Nothobranchius furzeri: one gene and its partner. The protein of the gene in region 1 purifies or fractionates together with the protein of each later gene. This does not show direct contact. Links are inferred from orthologs where the notes say so. Each region holds a gene or a part of one and is shown on either strand. Other genes may lie near its edges.

Evidence for each region.
Region 2: the proteins of arrdc3a (region 1) and NEDD4-like E3 ubiquitin-protein ligase WWP1 purify together in Homo sapiens (affinity purification with mass spectrometry; 4 studies listed by BioGRID and IntAct, counting the BioPlex papers as one, with this or other methods). This does not show direct contact. The link is inferred for Nothobranchius furzeri from reciprocal best matches to the Homo sapiens genes ARRDC3 and WWP1.

What each region holds. Positions count from the first base shown.
Region 1 is NC_091757.1:41,570,682-41,575,651, reverse strand, and holds the start of arrdc3a (arrestin domain-containing protein 3a), read left to right. Parts: upstream 1-1,592; 5' UTR 1,593-1,803; coding exon 1,804-2,083; intron 2,084-3,439; exon of another isoform or gene 3,440-3,467; coding exon of another isoform or gene 3,468-3,510; coding exon 3,511-3,592; intron 3,593-3,694; coding exon 3,695-3,842; intron 3,843-3,934; coding exon 3,935-4,037; intron 4,038-4,205; coding exon 4,206-4,462; intron 4,463-4,896; coding exon 4,897-4,970. Other genes in the region: arsk (arylsulfatase K), read right to left, coding at 1-56. UniProt on the Homo sapiens protein: Adapter protein that plays a role in regulating cell-surface expression of adrenergic receptors and probably also other G protein-coupled receptors.
Region 2 is NC_091747.1:36,690,180-36,694,920, forward strand, and holds the start of NEDD4-like E3 ubiquitin-protein ligase WWP1, read right to left. Parts: upstream 3,069-4,741; 5' UTR 2,897-3,068; intron 2,636-2,896; exon of another isoform or gene 2,547-2,635; intron 1-2,546. UniProt on the Homo sapiens protein: E3 ubiquitin-protein ligase which accepts ubiquitin from an E2 ubiquitin-conjugating enzyme in the form of a thioester and then directly transfers the ubiquitin to targeted substrates.

The DNA.
Region 1 (4,970 bases):
TGGCTGTCACAAAAAATTTGGAGGACGAAAATAAACACCAACATAAAGATGCTCATGTTTTCCTCGGAACTCCAACAGATATCTAAAAGTAAAGAAAAAAATTCCCAAACTGAGGCTTTTCACGGGTTTTACCCTAACGTGTTGTCTTTTTTCTTTTTTAAATAATTTATTTTTACTACCGCGCTGTCGGTGGGAGGTATTGTATTTACTTCCTGGTCATGATTTCAAAATAAAAGTATACTATAAAAAAAGGGGGGGTGGGGGGGTTGTTTCGTGTCCATGGGGACAAAGAATGAAACTGATATTTAGAAGGAACTGAAATAAAATAAAACTCAAACAAAATCCATCGTTCATTAACCAATTCATGCATAAAAGTATAGTACCACGAATTAATAAATTATAAACATTGCTAGAAGAGTGTCCCATCTTTTTAATTCAGCGGCAAAGTGGACACTAGAGGGCAGCATGCAACTAGGCATTAAACGTTTGTTTTTTTATTTATTTTTTTAATATTTTGCTGAGCTGGCACTGCAGTCATCCCACCTGTATCTATTGACATCCTAACGTTTAAGGTGCATGTCAATGTGTCCTTTGTATAGATAAAGTAAACAGCTTTCCAGATGTGTTTTATGTAATATGGGAAAAAAACATTAATGAATGCACTAAATGGCATTACATATGGTGTGTCAGGGAATCTATGAAGTTTATTGGATTTAATTGGAGGTAAATGGCATTTGTTAATACTAAATTATAAAATAAAAAATCCCCGTCAGGACAATAATGCCTGATTACCTTTCGGGCAGCATCCCCATACTGGCTGATTAAAAGTAAAGAACATTGGTATTGTTGCAGATCAACAGGTGATTCTGCTGCAGCCCATAGTGGGAACATTGGTTGCCACTAGGTGGCGTTTTGAGTCACGAGTTGTTTTTCTGAAAACTGGGAGCTCAACACAATGAGAAAGAGTCTTCTCAACATACACGGATCAGAATCAGTTAAATAACAATCAAAATGGGTCAGGTATATGAGTTACAACCACAGATGATCTGTTTTTAGTTTTATAATTAATATGCATGTTCTATACATCTACTCTGAACAGCCCTATGCCGTGTGCATCATGCAAAATGCAGCTCTTTGGATTTTACAATGACATTGCTCTGATTATGTAAAAGCGTTGTGTAAAGTGTTCACAATAAGCCTGCAGGCTGTGGCTCCAAAATAAAAACAAAATTCACACGTTTTGTGTGATTTTAAAAAATACTTACTCAAATATTGAGGTGGACTATGTACAGACTGGACTAAATCTTATTATTATATTGATAATTGATATTTTTAATGTTACAATTCGCCCCAAAAGCCTCACCCAGGACTATTGCAAATATTTCTTTATGCGGTGTTTCAGGTGCTTTTACCATACTTGCAGGGCGGCTGGATGAATGTGAGCTTTGCCTCACACTGCTCTGCCTGCCTTGTTCCAGAAGGCGAGAAGGTGGGGGCTGTGCAGCCACGCGCAGGCGCAGAAGGTTGTTTTTCACACAGCTTCTGGTTTAAAGTGAGCTGAGCTCCGGGGGTTTCCTTGTCTGTGACTGAGACCATCAAGGAGACAGGCAGATGATAACAGCATCCATTGCTGGTTATCAGCCTTCACAAAGCTCAATGAACTGCTCACAAAGAAGCCACTGATCGTGCCCGCTGCTTCTTGCAGGGCAGAGATACTGATCAGTGTCTCCAACCCCGTTTTTCTTATGAGATTATTTTTTCATTAACTCCTTTTTTTAGAGCTCGAGAAGATCTCTTTCCGCCATGGTGCTAGGAAAGGTAAAGAGCTTCATAGTGAGCTACGACTGTTTTAATGACAGCAACGTCCCCGTCTTCTCCAGCGGGGACTCCGTCTCAGGGAGGGTGATCGTCGAAGTCACCGGAGAAATCCGGGTGAAATCTCTCAAAATCCACGCAAAAGGAATAGCAAAAGTTCGTTGGACTGAGTCAAGAAACGCTGGATCCAACACTGCCTACACCCAGAACTACACAGAAGAAGTGGAATACCTGAACTACAAAGATATTTTAATTGGACATGAAAGAGGTAAGAAGTTTTGTAGAAATTGTGATGCTCCCCTGGTTGGGGATCAGGTTCGCTGAAAGATATAGAGTTGCAGGGCTCAATAACAGGATAATTGGTTCGATTAAAGACTAAATAAAGACCTGTCACTTTATTGCCTTATTTCAGACGAGATGTTCGGTGGGTATTTAGTTGTCTTTTAAAATCTCCATCGTTGCTTGTTTTTGTGGTCAGAATGAATGACAGCTGCTCACGTATCTTGTGTTTTTCATGGCATTTGAGGCGCATAGGGAGGATTTATCTCATTTAAATACATATTGGAATTGAGTTGATTCTGTATTTTATAGCTATGAAGCTTTGTTTAGAAATTTCATCGCTAAACAACGATGAAGTTTCCACCTATTGTTCAAAGCGGTTCAATCCTGTTCCGAAAACTGGTTTGCGAGGGGGCGGGGGGAAAGCCAGAGCGCACCCTGGCTCGTGTGTGATTGGTTAAGATGCTAGTGTGTGGCCAATGACATCATTCCCCTGCAGAGTGGCAGAAAAAACTGCAACTTTTTAATCAATGTAAAACACCTGCAGGACACGAAAATTGGTGGTTTTACTGTAAATTTTAAGGAATTGTGAGTTGCAACCAGGATGTGCTGGACATTTGAGATTTCTTTGCTCTTAATTTTTAATTAAAATCAAGAGTTTTTTTTTTCTTATACCAGTGAATGCAGTAAAGCTTTTATTTGCATGTATTCGGTTAGGTCTGTTAGCATGGATTATGTTAAGCTAACATGTCCGAGACGTGGTGATATTGTCGCTGAACGATTTAATATTTATTAGCGTTGGGAACACGTGTTTAAATAAGTGGGTAGCAGCTCCTTTAGTCTTACGGGACCACAGAGCTTGTCAGACGCATTTATGTATGTGGTTGTTGTGACTGCGGCGTCGCGGAGTGAATACGTAATGCCGAGGGAAGCTGCTCACACCGGTTTAGTCCGGTCTTCTCCTGCTGGAGTCTGTCTCTTGACTGACAGCTCCGCACTTGTTTACCACACGGCTTCTGCTAGGGGGAGGGTGTGCTGAGCTGGCAAGGGCTGCGCACACGTCCTTATCCGCCACATATTTACCTTTTCATGTAAAATGAGCAATATTAAATAAAAAATTCATAATTCCCCCCCCAAAATAAGTGAGAAGGCATCGCTTCGCTTTGCCCCATAAAATTACTTGTGCATTAGCATCACTCACGTTCAGTTTCTGATTTCTCCAAATTTTACTCTGCTGTTTTTTAAAATCTCAATACACTTAATTTCTAACAGACAAGATCAATTGTAAAACCCGTTTATTCTCTTTTTGTCTCCCCCACCCTGTGTTCTTTGATATGACTTACAGATGCCTTCGTAGAGCATTTTGTCCAGGTATGGTATACATGTGTTTGGAATATTGTCCTCCTTGTTTTTCAGACGATGACAACTCGGAGGAAGGACTCACTACAATCCATGCAGGAAGGCATGAGTATGCATTCAGCCTCGAGCTTCCACAGACGTAGGTGTCCCAATACGAAACTAGAATCAGAGAAAAAGTTATTTAGATTTGAGAACTTGACCGTTTTTCTCCTTTCTGCCCTTCTTTTACCGTCACCTGCAGACCTCTGGCTACCTCTTTTGAAGGAAAACATGGCAGTGTGCGCTACTGGGTGAAGGCAGAGCTCCACAGGCCATGGCTCCTGCCCATGAAGACTAAGAAGGAATTTACAGTCTTTGAGCACATTGACATCAACACTCCGTTATTGCTGGTAAGAAGTCATAGGAATGATGAAATGCATAGCTTTTATGTTTGTAAACTAAGAAAAAATGTTTATAAGATGTTTTTTCTCTACTTTTTCAGTCGCCTCAGGCCGGCACAGCAGACAAGACGCTTTGCTGTTGGTTCTGCACCTCAGGTCCAATTTCCCTAAGTGCCAAAATTGAAAGGAAGGGATACACCCCAGGTGAGGATAAGTGAATAAACGATAAGGTTGTTACTCATCTGTTTACCAGATGAGCCAATGGGATGATCACATTCTGCAGGATTCTCTACTTGTTACTGATTACTCATAATTAGGGTTCCTATCACTAGAGAAAAATATTAACTTCCATTATGTCTTATATTTGTGTAGGCGAGTCTATCCAGATATTTGCCGAGATCGAGAACTGCTCGTCCCGCGTGGTGGTGCCAAAGGCGGCCATCTACCAGACACAGACCTTCTATGCCAAAGGAAAGGTGAAGGAGGTCAAGCAACTGGTGGCCAACCTGCGGGGGGAGTCCTTGTCCTCTGGCAAAACGGAGACCTGGAATGGCAAAATGCTGAAGATCCCACCTGTGTCCCCCTCAATCCTGGACTGCAGCATCATCAGAGTGGAGTACTCCCTCATGGTGAGTTTGGTCTTTCTCTCACACACTCGATGAACATTTAGGTCAGGTGCCCGTTTTTGTTGTTTGTATTTGTTTTGAGACGACGGGCATACAAGGGTTTCTGCTTTCATCAGAATCAATATTTCCTTGTAAGCCAATATCCCGGTAAAGGTGCCTGGCTGACTCGGCTTGCATAACCAAATCTGGACCTGGGATTGTACCAGGTGTTATGTCCGCATGCTGCTAAGCGCATTAGCCCAGAATAATGGAGGCAACACCTGCCCTGAGGGTACTAATAACCTCTTTACCCTTCACATAGACAGATAACTGATTTGAACACACTGACCCACATGACCAGTTTACCTAAATATTGGTTTGCAGATTGGAATGCACAGCTCTGTAAACTCCCATTTTCAAGATCTAAATTGCTGTCATGTCCTCGTGTTTGTGCTCAGGTATATGTCGACATACCAGGGGCAATAAACTTGTCCCTGAACCTGCCCCTGGTTATCGGAACCATCCCTCTTCA
Region 2 (4,741 bases), on another chromosome or scaffold:
AGGTAAGATAGGGCTATACAGGAAATCAAACACGGTTTCGGTGTAAAACCCCCAGTAATTTTATAAATGAAAAGTATTTCAGCGATGTCATTTCATAAATATGAAGCTTACGTGTGACCCAACGGCTTATTTCCTCCCTGCATCGTTCGAGACGTACAACGGTGTGTTTTTCATGGCTTTAATCCTGGCAGTGGAGAGGAACATCATATGACATCAAACAGCGATATAAAACATGATTTGTTGTTGCTGGTTGGTTTCTGGTTAACCGGCTATTAACCGCTGAGGGGCGTCAATAACCAGTTAAAGAAATTTTGGAGAATGTGCATCCCCAGGTGTGAGCAAGCGGGGTCAGCTCTGGATTGGATGGGGCATTTCCAGGACTACGTTTGAGGCCATTAAAATTGTTAATTTTTTGACAAAACATTTAATTGATCGGTTGCCAGTATTCGAAGAGCATTTCAAGCAATAAGGCAAAAAGTATTACAGAAAACAATCTCGGATGTATTCATTAAAGGAAAACATATTTTATCTAGTTTTTCTTAGCTAATGTTTATCAAAGGTTAACATTTTCATTCCAAGTGACCTTTGTTCAAATCACGCAGCTCCATAATTGTCCACAAGGTCATCGGTTTGCCCTTACCTTCAGCACCCCCTGTTCAAGAGCAAATGCTTACTCAAAGCTGTTTTCTTCAAAGATTTGTCCATGCATCTATCAGACACTGTAAACAAAAATGTTTCAGAGCCAACTAGTACAACTTGCTGCTCAATAGACCGCTTCCTGACAGAAACTCCTTCCAAAAGGGACACGAATATTTACAATTTGTGACGGACGATCAGCTAAACCACAACTGAAAGCGGAGAGACAGCAACTCACTCACATCCCTAAACACGTTCTGATTTGAATCAGTTTGGTGAGACATTTTTAAGTGAGTAGATAACAATCAAAGCATCTTCATTAGATCAAATTCGAAGACAATGGGAGGGCTGCAAGGACTAGTTGACATAATATAGGATACAAGAATTCATTGATACAGATTTTCCTTGTTAAGTGTTTCATATCAGAGCCTTCTAAAATCATGTGATTGTGCCCGATTTCCGATCATGTCATCGGATTGGAGCATAGTTTACATGGTGTTATCCTGTTTAGTTTGTGTGTTGTTTCATGCCGACTGCACCGTGCATAACTGGGTTATTATTGTTATTGTTAATGCTAATTAGTGCCTGTTAGTCTTCCTATTCAATGATAAATGAAGGAGTTTATGAGAATACACGCTACTGGATGTTATTTATAACACATTGTATTAGGTTACTTTGCTCCTTTCAGCCCTTCAACACCAACTAACCAAAAATTGAATTCAGATTGTACAAAGCAGAGCCTTGTTCCTACAGCAGCACCACTACCCTGCAGCTGTAAGGCTGCCCATACACTAGACTTAGAGTGAATTCATGTTACATTGACACTTTTTATTGTTGATGTTTGTACTGTAACTGTTATAACAAAGCCTCAACAAATGCTAATTAATCACAATTCTAGTTATTGGTCAGGGTTTGGCGTTATGATAAACAACATTTTGTGCCCTATAGTAGATAATAAACATCCTTTACCCACAGTATAGTTAGCTCTAGCTTCATTGGTTTGACTGCTAGTTAATTAATTTTGCTGTAAAAAAGTTATATGTCTCAAGGTGACAATCACAGACCTGAGCAGTCTGAGACTTGAACCAGAGCCCAGAACAGGAGGTAGGATTGCAATAATCATTCACCAATAAGAAAAAGATTTAAAATTTACCTCTCAGTCGACTATCATAATAATTATTAATTGCAGCCGTACTACTTACAGGGAGTTTTGCAAAGCATAATCTGAGCTTGAGTTATACTGCAACTGTTGTTTTTCTATTGTGCCATGTTTGTATAAGCCCCCCCCCCCCCCCCACACACACACACACACACACACACACACACACACACACACACACACACACACACACACGTCAAAACCGTGTTGTTGTGTTGAAGAGAGTTCTCAGCTGATCAACCTTGACAACGTTTTTAACAAAAACCAGAATGTCTGCTCTGTTCGCTTGTGTCAGCTCATGTAACACGACGCGTTTAGTTATAATAAATGTTAAAACCTTTAATGGGTTGAGAGGTATCCAGTGTTGTTGACGGAATACAAAGTTCGGTAAACACGAGCAACTAAACGATATAAAAGAACAGAAATGCCCCATAGATAGCGGTCATGTATAAACTAATGGTCATAACACACAACTGATATATGAATATAATCTGGGTAAACATGAACTGCTAACTTTACTTCCCTACCGTGTTTGCTAGCATTAGGAGATGTATGAAACAATCTGTTAACAGGCTGAAGTGGTTTTGCACAAACATCTCATGAAACGAAATCTAAAAGATATTTAATAACTACTTATAACAACACAGTGACGTTACTCTGCACCAAAAGCTAACGCTTGCTAGCTAGAAGCTAACTCAGCTACGATGTTAAAATGGCTATTTTGGTTATATTTGTTTTGTTTTTTGTTTACCTTTATGCTAGCTGACTGTTCCTTTAGCTGCATGTGCAGTGGCCGAGGAGCCAGGTGAGTGTGTTTGCACAGATACGACTTGAAAGCGTATTTGTTTTTGTTACATAGCCGTGCAGTTTGTGTGAGCTTAGCCAAGTTAACGATAACCCTGCGCTAGTCTGCTAGCCGGAGGCGACACAACACCGGCTCGCGGAGTAACTTAGTTAGCAGCTCGGCTAATTGTCCGCCATCACGCAGAGCTAGTCAGTCAAACAGTTGGGTTGAATATGGAGGACGTGTTTCACAAACCGTCTTAAACCTGCCGTAAGCTGGTATGTTAAGGCTTGGGACGGAGAAGCAGCCGTGTTTACCTTGCTCGCTCTTGTGCGCTCCTCATGTAGTCAACGGTGCAGGAACGTTCGGGTCCTCGGTTCCCCACAGGCCCGGCAGTCCGCTACTGTTTTACTGCCATCTCTACACCGACGCTTCCGATGAGCTCAACACAGCGACAGACGCGCCACCCCAAATCCTGCTGCTCTCCTAAACCTGCAGCTCTCTCACTCGAATGTCGCTGCTGCTCAATAGGCACTCATACATAATTCATGTTAATGCACATCTAGTTCTGTGTGTGCAGGTATCTGATTTTTCTCTTTGGTTTTTCATTTTCACATCCCCGAAACACAATTTTTACTGTTTTACTTTCCAAATGTTTTGACTTTATGTTGTTTGACCTCTCTGCAAGTCATTTTTCTGGAGGTAAAACAGATGTTGCAATAATTCTGATGGTTAGGCATCATCAGGGCCAGAACAAGATTAGAATATACTGACTCAATGGAAGATCCAGGATTTTGAGGGGTCATCAAGGGACCAAAATGTTTATAAATTCAGTCAAACGTTTTTTATAAAACACATGCATGACAACACAATGTGCTTCACATTGTTTAAATTAAAACCATACATACATAAAATCAAGTAAAATAGAATAAACAAGTAGACAGGCCCCTAGATGTCACAGTCTCTGAGGTGAGAGGCTTCCTAAACTGCTCTTCTGACCTCTTGTTTACAGGTGGGTGGTCCTTCCCTGGTGAGGTTTTCCGGGCACGTCCAACTGGGAGGAGACCTAAAGGTAGACCCAGGACACGGTGGAGGGACTATGTCTCTCACCTGGCCAGGGAACGCCTTGGGATTCCCCCGGAGGAGCTGGCCCAAGTGGCTGGGGAGAGGGAAGTCATGGGCCTCTCGCCTTGGGCTACTGCCCCCGCGACCCGACTCCGGATAAGCAGATGAAAATGGATGGATGGATGGATACTAGTGTAGGAGTTCCTCTGCTCCAGGTGAGTGAGTACTGTGTGCAAGGTGAGGGATAGAGCATCCTCGGTGGAACGGTTTGAGCGGTAGGCAAGCTGATGTGGACCCAGTAGAGCAGGTAAACTGGATGTGATGAGTGGTTTGACTAACCATTCAAAACACTTCATGACTGTAGAGGTCAGTGCTACAGGACAGAAGTCATTTAGACAAGGCACAACAGACTTCTTAGCCACAGGAACGATGAAAGACGTCTTGAAGCAGGCTGGAACCTTAGACTGACAGAGAGAGATGTTAAAAAATCTGTCAGGACATCCACCAGCTTTTGCTGTTCGGGCCATCTGCTTTACTTGGGTTAATCTCCGCCAAGATATTCCTGGTGTTAGCTGGGCTGATGACCTCTGGGGACTGACCAGGTGGAGGGGGACATCTACTCTCCCCTCCTGGTGCCTTCCCCCTTACTTCGAATCGGGCAAAAAACTTGTTGGGTTTGTCCGGGAGAGAAGCATCACTGTCCTCGATTCCCTGCCTGTTTTTTTTACTGTGTCATTTGTTGAATCCCCTTCCACATTTGCCTGGTGTTCCCTGTACTGCAGATGTTCTCCTGGATTTTATCAGCATGCCTTCTCTTGGTTGCAGTGGCGGCGCCAGGGGGGGCGCTAGAGCTACCCCTGGATTAGTCATTGCACCCCCATAGCACCCCCAAGTAAATAGATTTTTTTTTACAATTTAATTTTAATTTAACGTGTGGATGTGATAATATTTAACATACAAAACAAAAATAATCAGTAAATTATATAGATTAGAGCCCTGCACGGGCCTAAAATCTGAGCCCGTGTCCAGCCCGGCCTGAGGGCCGTCGGGCCAGGCTGACCCTCAGGCCTTGGGCTCCAGTGCAGGGCTCTAATATA